Arabidopsis thaliana: one gene and its partners. The protein of the gene in region 2 interacts with the protein of the main gene of each other region in a pairwise test. Each region holds a gene or a part of one and is shown on either strand. Other genes may lie near its edges.

Region 1 (6,073 bases), on a different chromosome or scaffold from region 2:
AATATATACATATTAATGGGGAAGCAAATTCTTATAATGTTACATTATCTTTCTGAATGTAAAAAAGTATTTTTTTTTTTAATTTTATTTTAGTTATAGTTCTCTTGGCCTAATGAGGGGATATACAATTTTTGGTTGATGAAATAATCTTGTGATATACATACAGAAAGAAGTTCTTCTTATATTCGAATAATAGTACAAGTGAGTAACCTTGTATACTATGTAAAAACTCCACTTCTATTTTAACCCCATTTTATATCTCACTCAAAAATAGAGTAAAAACTTAAGAATAGAGAACTATGGTCTTAGCATTGACATGAATCTTAAAAGTATATTGAATTTATTACTGAAACGTACAAAACAACACAAACATAAAACAGAAACTATAAAGCTTATTTGGTTCTTCAGATCATCATAAATTGGAGCTAATTCAGTGACCAGCCAGCACCATAAGCTTCTTCCAAGACGGTCTATCCGAAATCTCTTCCCACCACCGGTTAAAACTACCCCGAGCCTTAACCATCTGGTTTATATCGGTTATACTCATCAAGTACCCCATCGCCGGCATGTGCGTCAAATCAGCCATAGTGAATTCTTCACCAGCCAAAAACCGGTTCGAAGAAAGCCGGTTATTGTATATGTCCAAGACCACTCCTAGCTTCACTTTGAGATCCTCGACCAAAACGACGTCACATTTCTCGCCTAACCTAGGCTTGATGATTAGGTTAATCACGAGGGGTTGGGCCAGAACGTTGAAGTAATAGGTCTCCACGTCAGCCCACTGGTCCACGATGGCTCGGTGCTCTAGAGACTTGCCCAAAAGGTTCGTGCCTTGGTCCGCGAACTTGGTAGCGTAGTATCTCGCGATGGCTCGTGATTCTTAGAAGATAAAGAGCCAAATTTCAAAACACTATAAAGAAAATGATAGAAGAATGTTTATAAAATGTTGTTATTAGGATGTTACCAAAAAGCTTGAAATCTCCATCTTCTATGGCTGGAACTTGACCAAATGGCTACACATGAAAACAATAATTATAATATATTTATGTTTTAAGTTTAAGAAATTTGTTTTTTTTACCTGACGAAGAAGATGTTCTGGTTTTTTTTGCTCAAATGTATCAAGATCGATATGAATAATCTCAAATTCAATTCCTTTCTCGAGAAAACAAAGCAAGACTCTTTGTGGACAAGCTGCTGTTACCTGTCCATATAGTTTCACAACCATTCTATAAGTTTACAATAACTTTGTTACGAATAAGAAAGATTTTACTATATGCACTTATTAATATCTTGTCTATCAAACTGGTTTATAAATGAGAAGAAATGAGAGTAGATGTGTTGGCATTTTATTAGACTCAAGATTTGAAGAAACTGGTTGTTGTGAGGGTTGGGTAGAACATGTGGTGGTTGTTCCTCTAACGGTGGATATGTATCATTGAAATTTCTCTACAAACTTTTAGTTCCAACTATCAATAACAAAGTTCCCTTGTTTGGGAATAAAATTTCGATTACTATATATCGCTATCGAATTTTTGTTGTAAATGAGACGAACACTTCTCTTCCCAACAACCACTTTTGACTTGCATAATAAATAAGAAAGATTCAGAGAAAAAAACTACAAAACTAAGTGACGTTTTTGGGGTTCTCAAAGATTTCTACTTCAATCAAGAATAACAATCATTACAAAGTTTCAATACTCTTAATCAAACACATATCCGTTAATCATTTTGTCTAAATCTTCTACTAAACCTAACGTGCTTTACAAGCAAGCTTTGTCTGTTTTTAAGTGAACTGTCTTCTCATGTAAGTATCCTCATGAACAAAAACAGGATCTTCTACTCTCTCTGGAATCTGAGGCTGCCCCATTGCTATTCCTGTTCCTTGGGTCGTTGTGGCAGCAACAATTTGCTTATTTGAAGTCAAACATAAATAGTAGACAATCCCAAGGGCAATAGTAACAAGCGAAAGCACAGCACCGGTAGAGAAAACGCCTGGTTTCACTATGTAGCAAAAGTAGGTACCAGCATTCATTGATTCCTCGGTGTGTTCATCGTTGAGTGCAGCTCCAGAAAGCAGCACGAGGAAAGCTATTACAAAAGTGAACCTATAGTAACGCGAAATCACTCACTCACTAGTTGTAAGCAAATTATAAGTAGGAAACTTGAAGCAAGAAAAGGATTAGAAATGATGAGAATTACCAGGAAACAACAAAGCAGATTAAGGAGATAATCCAATTAGACCTTGAAGGAGCAGGACCTTTTCTACAACAGAAACAACCGCTTGAGACACTGACTATTATCTGAGCCATCATCAGAAAGAGAGCTGAAGTGAAGCCGAGATTGAAAGCTGGACTTCTTGGATAAGTGCATTTTGTGATTGAATCCGAAACGGTAACCGTGACCTGAGATCTCTGCATCGATTTTAAGATAAAAATGAAAAACAAAACCTTCAGAAAAAGTTTGAAACATTGCACAAATACACACCAAGAAAGTTTCTTAATAGACAGAGTAGTTCAAGAGAATAAAACTGATTCTACATACCCTGCAAATTCTATATGACTAATTGATTCTAAAAAAGATGATTCAACCGAATCGACCAATACATAAACCCCATTAAGAAAGGCTATAACTTTGGTTCAATAAATCCAAAAACACATATGTGAATTGTGAAAAGCTTGTGAATGAGACTTAGTTGAATTGGAATCTGACATTAAACATATCAATACATATGCAATTACCAAAACACACCAGAAAACAACTCTTTACCACACAGTCTCTCTACAAAAAAAATTACTATTAAACTTCTCAAAGATCTTCCAAATTTGAAATCAACAAGTTCTTCTATACAAAAACCACCGTGAATGGGGACCATTACTGTTTCATTGAAAAATTCCCAAACCAACGAGTTTCCCACCAATTATTATTCAACTCCCATCTCAAAGATTGAAGCTTTCATCTCAAACGCATTTTCAGGCAATGAATTTCAAAATCGACACATAAAAAGAAACGCAGACAAAACCCAAAAATCCTTTAGATAGAGTTTCAACAAACCATTGTGGCTGTAATAACCCAAAGATCATGAGAAAAACCACAAATTTCACTAAAAAACAGAAACCCTAAAAAGTGCTGAAGAAGAAACCTTGATTCGAGTAGCTTCAGCGACGAAGGCAGTAACAGCTGATAATAAACCAAGAAGAAATAAAACACCACACATCACAATCTTTCTCCTCTCCATCTCTGTCTCTCTCCCACCAACTCCGAAGATGCTGGCTTTTTTTTTTTAGTCTTTGTTTACTTTTTTTCTGCTTCTTCTTCGTTGGTAAGAAAATGGAAAGTTGGTGACAAACCCATTAAACACCGCACTCACTTTTAGTCGGCAAAGTACTCTACTCTCTCCTCCTTATTACATAGATCCACGCGTAATGGTACTTTCAAGTTTCAATAAAATGTATTTTCTCTGTTTTGGTTTGGTTTCTGATTTTGGTTTGATTTGTTCAATTCAGATCCGACCGGACCGGTTTGCTACTGAGGTATGCAAAGAAATTATTTAGAGAAAATTAATCTATTTAAAGTTTCCTCCATTTAACTAAATAAGAATAGCTTATTGGTTACATAGATTTTATTTTATTTAAGAGTTTCATCATTTATAAGACGAACACATTTTATCTGTTTCTTACTATAATTCAAAAATGAATAGAATGACAATATTCTTGACCAAAAATATAAAGAATGAAAATGAGAATTTTGTTCTATCATTTGTATTTTATTCGTCCATGAATTATTTATCTTTATTCATTTCAAATTTACTATTTATCTAATTAAAGAAATTAGATGGACTTATATTTGATAAAATTCTTATGAGGTTTCGTCATATTTACATTTTGGTTTAATCAATCTAAAGATTCTTGTGAATCAAAAAAGATTAGTGCCGCCTTGGATATATTCATCATATAAATGATTCAATCATAGGTCTCTCTTTCTCTCTTATGACATAAGTTAATGATGAATCTATTTTCTATCTTTAGATAAGCCATAATTAATTCATTCCTAGAATCAAGCATGTAAGCAATAGAAAGAATCAAGCATATAAGTAAACTTTCACTCTTATCGCTAAACAAAACGGTATAAAAATATATCGTTTGCGATTTGTTAAATACGTCAATAAGTTTGAATATTCCATAGTTATAAAGATTTCAATATCTCAATTATAGTCCATTATTAGTTTCCATGTTATAGCACACAAAATTAGTGATTAGCGATAATCTCTTACCATAGAAACACAAAATCAAACGCAATATCTTTCAATTAACCACCTTTCTTTATACAAACCTATATATACATTTAGAGATATATATAGATAGAAAACGTATTATCATCGAAATTCGTTCTCATCGTCAAGCATATGAGTCGTCCAAAAATGAAATCTTCGTTGTTCTTTGTCTTGTTATGTTTGTTTCAAATAAACAAATTATGTTTCTGCTTAGAAGAAGAATCTCTAAAGGTTAAAAACGGATTTGGAAGCAATGGATTCATAAGTGTCACTAGTTTCGGAGCTATTGGCGATGGAAAGACTGATGATACTAAGGTGTTTATTTATAGAATCATCACTATTTGTATCAAAGTGGTATGTATAACCTTTGTTTTAATGTATGTGTTATGTGTATCAATATATTTCAGGCTTTTCTTAAAGCATGGGAAGCTGTATGCAAAGGAGGACACAATAGAAAGATTCTTGTGCCTCAAGGGAAAACCTTCATGCTTAAGCCTCTTACATTCATCGGTCCATGCAAGTCTTCGACCATCTCCTTATCGGTATATATATACTTGTCTCTTTCTCTTGTTTCAAATTATATTGGAAAATCCAGCCCTAATGTGAATGATTTCAATAGTGATCGATTTTAGCTTATGAGTAGACAATAACTCGAACCAATGTTTAAATAATTTGGTGATTTATTTACATTAGATAAGAGGTAATCTTGTGGCACCGGGTTACACTTGGTATGCGGGAAGATACACAACATGGATTAGTTTTGACAGTATCAATGGTCTTGTTGTCACCGGAGGTGGTACCATCGACGGTCGTGGTTCTTTGTGGTGGGGCAACGTTAATAATCGCCCCTGCGTAAGTCCATTTGCAAGATCCTCACAACCATAAATATGAACTTCGATCAAATATTTATTCTCAGTTATTAATGATGTTTCTTTTTCTTCCTTGCTTTTCTTAGGCAATGCACTTCAACAACTGTAATGGTCTTAGGATATCTAATCTCCGACATTTGAACAGCCCTCGGAACCATGTAGGTCTAAGTTGTTCACAGAACATCGAGGTCAGGGGTTTAAGGATGACAGCACCCGGTGATAGTCCAAACACGGATGGTATTGACATATCGAACTGTATAGGAGTCCACATACATGACTCAGTGATTGCCACTGGAGATGACTGCATCGCCATTAATAGCGGTTCCTCTCATATCAACATAACCGGCATTTTTTGTGGCCCCGGTCACGGTATCAGGTGATTCCTAAAATCACAGATTCACAAACAATCATCATATAATATACAGCAAGGTACATGCTAAATCATTTATAGTATGGATTTGATATTATAGCGTAGGAAGTCTTGGAGTAACTGGAGATTTCGAAACTGTTGAAGAAGTGAGGGTAAAGAACTGCACTTTTACAAAAACACAGAACGGTGTCCGAATCAAGACATACCAGGTTGTCCATTAATCTTCTTTTTTTATTATACATCATTAGTTCTTGGTCTTATTCAGCATTTTCACAAACTAAATCTGTTTTTTTTTGTTGGCGTGAATGTTTTGTAGAACGGATCGGGATATGCTCGGAAAATCTCATTCGAGGATATCAACATGGTTGCCTCAGAGAACCCTATTATCATAGACCAGACTTACCACAATGGAGGTACGAACGGAGGAATAAGCAAGTCATCTAGTAGCTATCAGAACTGTCATTTAACAGCAAAACAACGGACTCCGTCTGGTAATGGGAAAGGCGTGAAAGTGACTGACGTGCGTTACGCTAGAATCCGTGGGTCATCTGCAAGCGATCAAGAC
Region 2 (5,702 bases):
ATATGAGAGAAGCCCGAACCTGATGTTGTGCAACCTCTAGATTTTCTGCTTCAATCATATTAGGCACTGATGACTCCATCTTTTCTGATATCACATTCAGATGCAAGCCTCCATCTCCTCTGACATCACATTCATCCGCCTCTGCAGCATCAAAAAGTTCAGAACAACCTAATCCCTCCACGTCGCCACCACTCTGCTGCGTACTACGGACAAAGCTGCCACTTAGCTTCTCTGCTACAGATTCTATAACATCCAAGTCCCACTTTGGTGAAGTCTGCAAATCTTCATTGAATTGTAGCTTTTGTGTCTCGACAGAATCTCTAACTAGCGTCAAAACACTTGGAGACGCAACTGGCATAGACATCTCCCTTGTCGTAACATACGTATCCTCATCCTCACTAGGAACTGATGATCCAGTTCCTTCTGACGTGACATCTAGATGCAGAACTCCCTCATCACCTGATGTAGTATTCTCTAGTGACTGCAGTAAAGGCAGATTACACTATCAGGCTAAGCAAACAACATCAGATAAGTATAGAATTAAAGCAAAATAAGGACAGCTAAATATGAGAAAACATCAAAGATCGAACCTGATGTTGTGCTACCTCTAGATTTTCTGCTTCAAGCATTCTATTCTCTTCTTCTTGCTCCAACACCGTAGACGCATCAAGTGGTGAAACAAACGGATTGTCTAAATCATACGCACGGCTCAACGGAATCCAGTGAAGCCTATAGATCCTTGTTGAACCACCAATCCTAATCGTATCACCTTCTTCAACCTCAACACAACCATGTGGCTCGATTCTAAGATCCCTAACCCAAGTCCCATGCACTAAATCGAAAAAACACAATCCAATCAACAATCAGAAACACATATAATCGAGATCCAATTCCACAGTAACAACAATCTCGCGAGAGGAATATAAACATGAGTTAGAGATGATTCATACCAGAGGATAGATCCGTGACGAAGAGTTTCTGACGAGAAGAGATCGAGCGGATTTCTAAGTGGAATCTGCTAATGCTAGGGTGCGTAAGAAGAATATCACAATCTGGATGACGACCGACGACGAGAATCTCTTCTACTTCACCGTCATCATCGCTTACAGTGGAACCGTTTCTCTCCGGCGACGAGAAATCGCGACTGTTCACAACGAAGATATTCTTGAGAATAGCGCCGTTTTTCAGAACGGTGAACACAGGGATCGTCTTCTCCGGCAATCGTTGCTTCTCCTCCATCAGTTTCTCTTCCTTGACCTCCATGAATAAGTCTGTAAGAACGAACGATTGAGAGATTTTCGAAAATGGAAAACGAAAGAGATGAAGAAGAAGAAGATTTAGAGAGTGTTTCTCTCTTTCTCTCTCTATCTCCTTCTGATTTTGAAAAAGAGTCCGTTGTTGAATCCGACGACCTCTCTCTCTCTATTTACTCGTAACGGCTAATTGTGGCATCATCTCTTATTACGACAATTTCAAATTTTAATAACCAAATTAAACCCTTAATTAATTCAAATTTAGGTCGGTTAAACACTAAACACATGAATTTTTCATTTCATTTTTTGTTTGGTATGGACATGGTCATCGATTATTTATGTATGTGCTTTTCTACAATTTTTTCATGCCTAGAAATTGATGCCAAATCATTCAATTCGGGGTTTCAAAACTTTAACCATAACAGACCGAAGTAGAATAATTTGGTTTGGTTCGGTTTGATACAATTCGATTCAATTGAAAACGAAATACATAAAAGAGCAGCTTCTACTAAAAAACTCAAAACAGTTTTGATGCATTGTGTGAGAGTATACATAAATGTGAGATTAAAAAAAGTGGGATCATTCCTCCTTGGTATGAGCAAGCCTTGCGCGATGCCTGAGCTCAGCTCTTTTCCACTTTACGATTAAGTAGCAAAGCGAAAAGAGTGTGTTTATCTGTCAAAAACACAACACCTCCATCAGATTTTCCACATTCACTACACATAGTTCGTTAAAATCCTAAACAAGACATGGATCAGTATGGTACTATGGTTTGAGTTAAGGACTACAAATACTCTTAAGAGTTAAAACCAAATCAAACACGAAACATATCCTCGATTTCTCAGTTAATATGACTGCTCAATCAAAGTATGTTTTACTTGGGAACAATTTATTAAGAGCTAGCAAGTAGATTCTAATATATTAATGCAGAGAAGAAAGGGAAAGATTGCTGAACACATTACCAGGATTATCATTGCAATGACCAAAAGTGGTCCAGACCAGAGAGTCGATAGGAAGACTCCGTTCGAGTCAAAGTAGTTTTGAGTTGAGAAGCTCTTCCAGTTTTTCCTCAACTCCCGGTTGAGATTCTCTGCAAAGTATACCCCAGCCACTGCAAATTTTTTGTCACATCATCAGTCTCAATAACGTGTACTAAGAAAAGAAAAAACTCTAATTGATGCAGTGACGACTCACAAAATATCGCAAAGAAATATGCCAATCACTAAGTTCATAATCTAAACTAACACAGCTATTGAGTAGACAAATGAATATCATATTTTCGTTTTACCAAACATCGATGATCCGATAATCCTATTGTACTAAACAAAGAAAACAAAGCCTAGTGCATTCAATCATAAGCTAGAGTGAAGTAAAACATGTCAGTACTAGCTTCTCAAACACTTGATCCACTATGAATGCCACAACCTAGACTAGTGAGATCATTAGATCGAAGAGATTTCTTGTACAATATATATATAGACAGTTTCAAAGGGAACTTACAAGCCAATAAGAAGAGGAACATATGGAAGTTGAGATGCCTTCTAGAAAGAAGAGTCACTAGTAACAACAAAGCATGAAACGCCATTAAACCCATAATCCAAGGTTCCTGTAACCAAAAAATGCCAGATGAGAAAAAACCAATGTATATGAGTATAGTTTATGGAATCTCAAATTCTCACAGAATTCAAATGAAATTCTACAAATACCGAGAATTTATCTAGACTTGTGATTCTAAATTCCTCAAGACCAAATGATGCAATACGAAGAAAGATTCTCATTACCTTCCAATCAATGGCGTGGAAAAACCCCAAGAAATTATCGTAAGCAGGTTGAAACCCCGTTCGGAGCTCTCCGGAGAGTTTCTCAACCAGATCCGCTACGAGATCCACTTGCTTCTCCATCGCCGATCTTATTTCTTCCATTGTCTTACTAAATGTCACCGGAAAAAAGAAACCAATTTGAAATTGCAAGCGGTGGTAACTAAAATACTCACACTCCAAGTAACCAAAACCCTATCGCTTCTTCGATTCCAGTTCTCAACTTTTCTCGCCAAGATTTTTAACGAGTTTCTTCTGCGCTTAAAAGCTCTCGAAGTTGCCAGGAAAAGAAAAAAATGTAATCACCAACTTCCCAGAATACCCTTATAGTTTCATATTTTAACGGTAATGCCACTGAGATAACATACTAATATTTTGGATTATTCAGAGTAATATGATTTTCCAGGAACATCTAAACTTATACTCAAACCAAATGATTTGATCTTCGATCGAAGTCAGTTTTAATGAAAGGATTCTCCGAAATAATAAGACAAAAAATGAGTTTGAGCGATTCCACTCCTTTCCTTCATGAAAACTCTACATAATTACTATGCTTATGATAAAAAAAAATTAGATGATTATTAACATTCTCAATAATCGATAATAGGTTAACAGATAGAAGAATGAGTGAATGGAGATGTTGAGAAAGAAAGCAACTTCAGGATGTGGATGTTGTTGTGGGTCGTTGCTTCTTACGGAAGATGTAGTTTAGGAGCATCCCAAGTAAAGGGAAACTTGTAACCATGCCTATGTAACCAAGCCACCATACCGACTGTTTTGTCTGCCTACACAGCTCTTTAAAGCTTTTCTTTGTTACATCTTCCTCAGGCTTTCGCCCTCTCTGCTTCAGTGTGGTCTTATTGGTGTCTTGCTCATATTTGACTGCTGCCACCAACCCGTCTTCTGCAATGTTTAGGTACGGGCCTTGGTTTATCGATGGCTCTTGTTTCCCTGACCCTGAGCTTCTTTTATCTACAATCTGCAAAAAAATTGATAATCTTAGGAAGAAAGAAATAGAGAGAAGAGTTAAATTATCTAAACTGCAATTCTAATAAACGGAAACTTACTTTCTGTATATGCATATAAGGACTGCAGCTAAGGACGCCAAGAAACTCGTTGGTGGCTCGAACCCACCTATACACAACAACATATATAGGCAGTCAAAATAGGAAGTACTATTATTACTTAGTTACAATCTGAAATATACCAACCATAAGCTAGATCCAGTTAATCCTTCGAAGAACGCTAGATGTCCCCCGTGATTTGTTGTAGCCAAGACAATGTTTTTGTTGGCCCTTTTCAATAGAAACTTCATGTTAATCGCTGTAACAGGATTTAAGATTTAAAAAGAGATAGATAGCGTCTTACCTGCATTCGTCCCAGGGAATAGCTTCCTTTGTGCATAATGGATCATCTAGAGCACTTATACAGAGTAGTGGCACCGCCACATTTCCTACGTATTGAGTGCTGCTCGATTTTCGGTAATACGTATCCACAGTCTGCATAAAGGTGCAACCCGTTGTACTTATATTAAATCAACAGAGAACTTAATGGTGATTATGAAGAGCATTGCAAAGATGAATATATGAATTACAAAGCCAATTGCGGTGGAAAACTAACATCAGAAGTTAAGATAATATGGAGGAGAACTAATACCTCGAATTTTCCAACTAGACAGGTAGCATGGTTGTCAAAATCTCGGATGGAACGTGACTGATGAAGTAAAAACAACGGACAACAACAGACAACGTCGATAGGGAAAGAAATATGTAAGTTATTTGCTTAAGAACTCTGCTTGTTTCAATGCATCTACCAAGTAGACTGTATAACTTATGGGCCTGTGGTTAATTAACCTACTAACCTTTTTGATGCCTTCCCAATTAGCAAGCCGTAAAAACTGAGGTTCATGCCTGCAATGAAACCAAAAGTTATAACTGAAACCTGATCTTCTCAAAGCAGTAAAACGGAAATATCTCCTCTCAGCCCATCTTACAAACTCAAAATCTAGGCAGTTCTTGGTGGACATACAATTGGGCATAACCTTGGAGTCCGATGGTGAGAGCTTTGTCATAGAGCTTTTGTTTCAAAGTCCGACAGATAAACCTGTCACCAATCTTGTTGGGAGGAGAAAAGGAAAAGAAAAAGCATAACGTATCAAGCATCCACTTGTATCAAACAAAACCCTTAGTACTATTTACAAGTTCAAAGGTCTGAAATCAGAACCCAATGAAGAAAATTAAGGAAGTCATAATTTCTCGTCAAGTTATTAGAGACAACTTCAGACACGAATCAATATACAAAGAACAAGACAGTTATGAAAAATAGCTCACCAAGAGGTCCCATGGAGAGCAGATAGCAACAGCACCTCTCAGAGGAGTCTTTTCACCCTCTTCCCCAAGGTATTTTACCTGAAGCATAAGATAAATTCAGGAACCTCCTCACGCATATCAATGGTATTTGAAAAACATATATAATCAATCTACTCTTTTAGCTTGAAATCGTTTTTTTGAATGTAGCATATGGTGCAGCCAACTGAGCAATATGTAACAAAAAGTCCATGAAAAACAAAGCAAATCTTCACACTTAAACATCATTCAAAGCTAAGTAAAACACTGCGGTTCCTGATTTAGTA
Region 3 (7,446 bases), 9.5 Mb from region 2:
TGATACCAAAAAAAAAAAAAAAAAACAGAACGCATCTTTTACTATACGGCGTTGTTTGACTCTTTAGTCACGCAATCTAATGTAACGAGTGGGTTCACGCGCCGAATCTACATGGTGGCACCCACTTTTGATTGTGATATCTTCCCATGTTGGTAAGTGGGACCCACTTTTCTTTGGATTAGATTTTCATCATTTCAACGAGTGAATTGTGTCGTTTTGTGGCATCACGCAACGCGATCACCGTCATCAATTATTAGCCGTTGATTAAGGTTTACATCTATTCCATCGGACGGTTGTCACGACTTCATTGCACTTACCTCTAATCTCCACCGTCTAAATAATTAACTAGAGTTAAAAAAAGTCAAGAGAAAGTTGACTTACAAAGGAAATCGATGACGAGGCGTCCGTCGGATAATCGGCCGGTGGATCTCTGGAAAAACGAACGACCGTTAGGAAGACCAATGCTGTATCCGAGTCCGGCGACGAGTCCACCCGTGTCGGAGTTGGAATCGCCAAAGTTAAAAATCACCGGCGGAACCTGACATCCTCCGGCCACTGCCAAGTTTTGTCGGAGAATGAGGATAAACGGAAGGAGAACAAGAAGGAAAGAGTGGGAGTGAAGAGAGAGAGTAGCCATTGTAACTTGCTAGTAGAGATTTGATCAAGATAGAGTGAAGATCGAAAGCTTTGTAATAAATTGTAATAATGGTAAGCCTTAAGTGTGTGGGCCTTATTTCTCTTATTTTAAGCTATAGTGTGTGAGTGTGATTCTTTAGTGAATTTAAAAACAAAGCCTAAGACTTTGTATGTTGGTGGTTGACAGTGACAGACACATAACTCAAGCTTACTGTTGGCTCCAGCTCCAATGTAGATGCTAATTGTTCATACATAAATATGCATATGCATCCTAAAGTATATATCCAAAACGAATGTACAATGGAATTTTCCTTTTGTACGTAACAACGAAAAGATAAGATCGAAAAAATATGCGGCGAAAATTTACGTTGGAACTTGGAAGCCAAAGAGGACGCGGAAATTAATCATCTGGACGCCAACGCTAGCTTGTTTGACTTATGCAAATGGAGCATTACTCATAATTTATTCATCTTCAACTCCAAAAGCATTTCGTATAAAAATTAACCACTGATATCCAGCAAAATGTTAAGCATCACTTACTTTCTCAAATTTCAGCCAACAAAAAAGTTTAACGTGTTTGGTATACCTATGTGCTGACTACAGACCAATGTTTTATCTCTATCCATATGAAATGACATTCTTGCTCAAGGAAGTCACTGTACACCTAAGGAAAGGCCTTTTAAGAATAAATGAGGCCTTTTAAGACCAATAATTGGCCCAACAATATATGTTGTTTTGTATATGAGATTTTCTTATATTATACAAGTTTTCATTATGCATTTTACTTTAGTTTACTAAAGTTTTATATATAAATCATTATGTTTCAGTATAGTTTTTAATTAAAAATTAATTAGTTTTCTGAAAATTATACTAGCCACTCTAGTTATATCCTACTTTTTAATGATATAAATTCCAGTTATTTTCAAAGATATTCTTAAATTACGTATGTCCAACCCATTGTGTAAATGATTACCTAGTTCATACATTAAAAATATATAGTATATATACAGTATGCAGTCGAACTGAAACATGTAATAATATAATCATGAATTTAATTATATATTAAATTTTAGAAATAATTAGATGCATACATTTTGCGGATACTTACCTAGTTATATTTATATTGCATAAGATGCATGCCATTCAATATATATTCGATAATCCATGCCCAACTTCCAACCCTTTTGGGATATAAATAGTTAATTTACCATTTATGATATATATTACACACACAAAAGTTTGACAAAAAGCAAGAGTGATATAATGAAAATCAATTCAAAATACGTAAGATAATACTAATTCGATATTGTTAATCAAGCGATAAACCAAGCCCTTGGTTTAATATCACAGAAACGAGTTTTAGCAAAGGCAAATTGATTGCTTGAAGCTTGAGAAAGACATTCACAAGCTCCACCAAACCCATGAAAAAACGGAAACCAAAAAAATGGATTAAAACGAGGAAAATAAGTTAGATTTTTTTTTGACAAAACGCCAATTTGGATTGTATTAGTAATCAGCAAGGAGAAAATTTAAATAAATTGCCAAAAATATCAAATGATTCATATCACCTATTGTTTCGTGTTCTTATGCCCTAAAGAGAGTCCAAGTGTTACAAGCAAACTTCATTCTCGAACCGTTTCTCACCTTTCTGTTTAAAACATCTCTCTCTATATATATGTATGTATATAAATAAATATATGTATGTGCATGTATATATAAATGTGTGTATATATACATCTTTGGCTATAAATATAAGGTCGAACCAAAATAAAATATAGATTTGGGGAAACTAATAAATGATATAGAGAATCCACCTCTCTCCCTTATTTTTTTTTCTTGGTTTCTTGACCTATTATTATTGATTAGTAATAGTGAGAGAGGCATATTTTGGAGATACACATAAACACATAAATTGGAAGAATAAAATAAAAGAGAGTGAGAGATGGCTAAATCAGATATGTTGCCGTTCTTGGCGATGGTGTTGGTGCAAATCGGCTACGCAGGCATGAACATTACGTCGAAGATGGCTATGGAGGCCGGTATGAAGCCACTCATCCTGGTCGCTTATCGTCAGATATTTGCCACTATCGCCACTTTTCCGGTCGCATTTTTTCTCGAACGGTAAAAAAAAAACCATACTAATATCTGCCCATATACATCTTATTTGATCAACTAACGATTTTAGACATGTATGAATTACACGATTAAAACAATTGCATCGATGAAATGTTGAATTTGTTTTAATTCTTGAATAAAGCATATGGGTGTTTTTATTACTTTTTTGGGGTTAAAAGTAATTAGGTTTTAGGTGGTGAGTCTATGTTTTACAAAGATCAGCAAGAAATGCTAAACTTTGATTAGCTAAATTTTTCTTTTAGCATTGTTTTTTTGTGTTTTCAAGTTTGTCTTAACTGCGAAAGTAGAAAATGATGAAATCATATTCATCAACATAAACGTCAAAATGGTGAGTGCGTATATTAAAATATTAACGACGAAAAACCATTTACTAAATGGCTTTGTGAGTCTCATGTAGAACGTTTTTACGTCTTTGAACTTTCTTGCGTCACCTAAATTTATTACTTTCCAAAAGTTTCAAAAATCAAGCTTTTTAATTTATTGACATAGAAGTACTGCATGCTTAAAGTCTTTTTTTTTTGTGGTCAAGATTTTTTTTGATATATGTTAATAACTTAATTCATCAGTACTATACGTTGAATAGATTTAAATTCATTAATTTACTTCTTATTATTTTACAATTTTGGCAACAAATGAACCTCCATTTAGAAGACTAAAAATTAAAAACACTAAACTAATAATTAAGAAAAAAAGTTTAGCACGACATCGTCTTATTTTCCGGAGATTACGATAGAATACGCATATAATGGTATATGGTAAGCTATAAGTTTCTTGATGAATAATATTAATTCAGAATGTGAAGAAAAATGTGGTAAAGAAAAAAAAGACAAAAAAGTGGTAAAGTGACGCTGATTAATTAGTTGAAATGTAGTAGACACTAGCTTTTTTCTTTTGTTTATTGGGATTAGTATTTACCGTTATTTTTTCATAATCATGGTACCGTCAATGATTTTGGTGGTATGTGGAAACCTAAGTAGTTACATTATCATTAATTCCGTTTTCCGAGAGAGAAACAAATGAGAAATGTGACGCAGTCTCACACAATCCACGCGTCACGTTTCTTTCTTAAACCGAAGCACATGATGACAAACAAATCATGATGCCAGGTGAGTTAAGCGTCGTCAGGTGCCGTGCCATCTTCATTTGCCAAGACACGTGCTTCTTCAATTACGTTTTTTACTCTGTTTCTCCACTCTAATCTCTTCATATGATATGAGAAGTGAATTTGATTGTTTTCTTGAGTCTCGGTTTAACTTAACCGGGTGGTTTTAGGATTAGTTGCATGATTACATTCAATGAGAAATGCTTTAATTGATTAATAATGATTAGTGGACTAATGAAAACATAAATTTTTCATACACGGTTTCTTGTGCAGGAAGACAAGACCGAAGATCACACTTAGGATTCTTGTCCAAGTCTTCTTCTGCTCCATTACTGGGTATCTTACATACACTTTACCTACTAATTGCAATCTTACTTTGTTATAAAGCGATTTACATTGATTTTCTTTGCAGTGCGACTGGAAACCAAGTGCTATATTTCGTAGGACTTCAGAATTCATCTCCGACCATTGCTTGTGCCTTAACTAATCTCTTACCAGCGGTCACTTTCCTCCTCGCCGCAATATTCAGGTTATATGAAATTAATCTTAATTAAGTTTCCTTCAGACAATACTCGTTTATGATTATTGCTTAACACAAGACTTTTTTCTTTTCAGACAAGAAACCGTGGGGATCAAGAAGGCATCAGGACAAGCCAAAGTGATAGGGACGCTAGTATGTGTGATCGGAGCCATGGTTCTCTCCTTCTACCATGGTCACACCATCGGCATTGGAGAATCCAAGATCCATTGGGCCTACGCTGAAAACATCACGAAACATGGTTCCAGTTCTGGCCATTCTAATTTCTTCTTGGGACCTTTTCTTATTATGGCTGCTGCCGTTTCTTGGGCCGCTTGGTTCATTATCCAGGTAACTTAATTACTTAATTAAAAAAAAATGTAGCTTCAAACAATTTGAACCCACATAATGGAAAATGAAACTAAATTCTCATTTGGTTATGATAAATATTATTTTGGTTACAGACGAAGATGAGTGAAACATTTGCAGCACCGTACACGAGCACACTACTAATGTGTTTGATGGGAAGTATCCAATGTGGAGCCATTGCTTTGATCTCCGATCATACAATCTCTGATTGGTCTCTCAGCTCTCCTCTCCGCTTCATATCCGCCCTTTATGCCGTAAGTCCACATACATATACTATGATCATTAGATAACAATCTTAAGCTAAAAATATATGACACTAGTATAAAACACGGATCATGCAGGGAGTGGTGGCGTCTGCGTTAGCTTTCTGCCTAATGTCATGGGCTATGCAGAGGAAAGGTCCTCTGTACGTCTCTGTTTTCAGCCCTTTACTTCTCGTAGTTGTCGCCATTTTCAGCTGGGCTCTTCTTGAAGAGAAACTCTACACCGGCACGTATGTTTCTATACATCTTTATCTATCTCTCTGTGTGTTTAAACATTATATAAACGAGATGATGATGATGAATTTATATGATATATGTATATTAGGTTTATGGGATCAGCACTTGTGGTTATTGGTCTCTATGGCGTATTGTGGGGGAAAGACAGAGAGGTGAGTGAGAAGGAAGAAGAAAGGGAGAAGGTGAAACAACAAAACCATAAAGTCAAGAGTGAAAGTAATGAAGATATTGAATCGAGATTACCGGTAGCAAGTAGTGGAAATGGTTCCACAAGGTCTACATCGCCTTAAAATGGTGATTGCTTCTTCATCATATATAAGTATGAGCTATGGAAGAACCTTTTGGGATTTCTTGTTATCTAAGTTACTGCAACTAAATTGGATTTTCGGAGTGTTTAATTTTGTATCCCATTTTGAGGCTAATGATGGAGTGTTGATTTGTGTGTTCATCCTATGGACAACAAATATCACCTGTTTGATCTCTATATATATTCAGTATTCTTAATCTTCATCGTTTCCATTATCTTATTTTCTTTCTAATAACCTATTTCCTTTATCCCCAAAACAAATCAAATCATAGTCTTCAAGTAATTTATTTTATGTTTTGTCAGAGGGTGAAAGTTATTACAGACCTTCAATATTCATTTAGACCCAAAATGTAAAATAGTGCCTTGAAACAGAGGGTTTCGGTTCGTGCAAGTCAATTACAATTGGCTGTAACGGTTTAATCCTGGTTTAGTAACTCAAGTGTTATATACGAATCAAAACAGAGTCGCTGTTCTGTTTTGTTAATCTTCTTCGTCATTCTTGATTACGAGTTGCAAGGTTTATCTCGGTTCATGTACCTGTAATCGATAGATATAGTAGATTTGATACAGAACATGGAGAATCACATGCGATTTAGTTAGACTTAATTGTCAAAGACAAACACTATGGACATTTATTAGTATTATTGACCACCTGATTTTGCCATAAGGTCATAATTCATAGAAGCAAAAACAGAATTAGATCTTACAGAAAAAGATATATTATATTATATCCCAAGTGTTTATTTTTATCCTTATCAAGTTCAGTTCAATTCAACCTCAGCATCAGCATCGCCATTAAAAACATATATGCATATAGAGAATTGCAATTAAGAAGATTCTGTAACCATTATTAATTAGAATATTTCTGGAAACATTTGCTACTATGTCATGATTCAACAACAATCAGATTATGAAGAAACCATATGACTAACAATCTGTTCCATGGATAGTAAGATCTTCGTCTGTCTGTTTTTCTCAATCAACGGATTGATCTGATAACCGAGCACATTGAAATCTGTCTTACAGATATCAACAGCCATAGAAACTTTCTTTTCGATATTGACAATCTTACTGTAGTAAGCTTGCTTGAAGAAGGTTACAGCTTTCGTGAACGCCGAGTTCACAATGGCGTAAGCTTCGGCGCACGCTTGAAGATCAGGCCTCTCGTCTCCAGCATTCCTGAGAAGCGTGCTGATGAAGAAATAAGTGTTGGCCGCGAACCTTTCAGCTTCGCTTACTGTCACGTTCATGATTTCTTTGTTACTTGCGGGAAAAGTATTCAGGTTCTTGATCAAGAGACTACTGCAAAATCTGGTATCCATTGTCTGCTTGCAGATTCCGTTGACCCTTTGTTGAGTTTTTTCATCGAGAAAAGCTTCTGCAACGGAGGAAGCGAGTATAATTGCCAAAACTATCGAGAGAATGTGATGCATTTTCATCTTTCTTCTTTTTTTTTTTTTTTTGTAAATTGAGTATGTGGTCATTTGAGAAAGAAATTTGTTATTTTATATATGAAATTAGGCATTTGAATGAATCAGTCAAGAGTCAAAAAAAGTCTTTGTAAGTTACCAAAATTGCGTGTGAGAATTAGTGTATTTCAAGGAAAAGAAAACAATTCCCAAACTACAATATTTTGTTTATTTATCTGAACTAACATTCAATGTTTATAAATTATTTGAGTTGACCAAATCTTCAATACATTAAAAAGTCAGTATTGATGCATATGTGTCAAGGCCACAATTACACTCAACTTTTATTTTTTTATTTAATTCTACTATTATTTTTGTCAAACACTTTAAAATTAATAATTTTTGTTTAAAAATAAATTAATAACTTATATTTATTTTACTGTTAGAGTTTTCAACCAAAACAAATTGTC

The links.
Region 1: the proteins of AT1G34350 (region 2) and AT5G17210 interact in a protein complementation assay, tested with the Arabidopsis thaliana proteins (one large-scale study listed by BioGRID).
Region 3: the proteins of AT1G34350 (region 2) and UMAMIT25 interact in a protein complementation assay, tested with the Arabidopsis thaliana proteins (one large-scale study listed by BioGRID).

Annotation. Positions count from the first base shown.
Region 1 is NC_003076.8:5,653,680-5,659,752, reverse strand, and holds AT5G17210 (transmembrane protein, putative (DUF1218)), read right to left. Parts: upstream 3,406-6,073; 5' UTR 3,235-3,405; coding exon 3,139-3,234; exon of another isoform or gene 2,875-3,138; intron 2,411-2,874; coding exon 2,199-2,410; intron 2,105-2,198; coding exon 1,783-2,104; 3' UTR 1,560-1,782; downstream 1-1,559. Other genes in the region: GSTF12 (glutathione S-transferase phi 12), read right to left, coding at 431-879, 965-1,013, 1,079-1,225; AT5G17200 (Pectin lyase-like superfamily protein), read left to right, coding at 4,417-4,584, 4,677-4,811, 4,963-5,121, 5,225-5,514, 5,609-5,717, 5,825-6,073.
Region 2 is NC_003070.9:12,532,058-12,537,759, reverse strand, and holds AT1G34350 (Tmem18), read right to left. Parts: upstream 3,335-5,702; 5' UTR 3,176-3,334; coding exon 3,035-3,175; intron 2,860-3,034; coding exon 2,679-2,859; intron 2,365-2,678; coding exon 2,216-2,364; intron 1,929-2,215; coding exon 1,833-1,928; 3' UTR 1,665-1,832; downstream 1-1,664. Other genes in the region: PS1 (forkhead-associated (FHA) domain-containing protein), read right to left, coding at 20-481, 591-832, 951-1,263; AT1G34340 (alpha/beta-Hydrolases superfamily protein), read right to left, coding at 3,729-4,049, 4,138-4,204, 4,282-4,365, 4,439-4,569, 4,727-4,783, 4,932-4,980, 5,099-5,184, 5,401-5,478.
Region 3 is NC_003070.9:3,024,455-3,031,900, reverse strand, and holds UMAMIT25 (nodulin MtN21 /EamA-like transporter family protein), read left to right. Parts: upstream 1-2,351; 5' UTR 2,352-2,578; coding exon 2,579-2,757; intron 2,758-4,147; coding exon 4,148-4,210; intron 4,211-4,286; coding exon 4,287-4,403; intron 4,404-4,489; coding exon 4,490-4,742; intron 4,743-4,855; coding exon 4,856-5,014; intron 5,015-5,101; coding exon 5,102-5,253; intron 5,254-5,348; coding exon 5,349-5,550; 3' UTR 5,551-5,839; downstream 5,840-7,446. Other genes in the region: AT1G09390 (GDSL-like Lipase/Acylhydrolase superfamily protein), read right to left, coding at 382-637; AT1G09370 (Plant invertase/pectin methylesterase inhibitor superfamily protein), read right to left, coding at 6,476-7,006.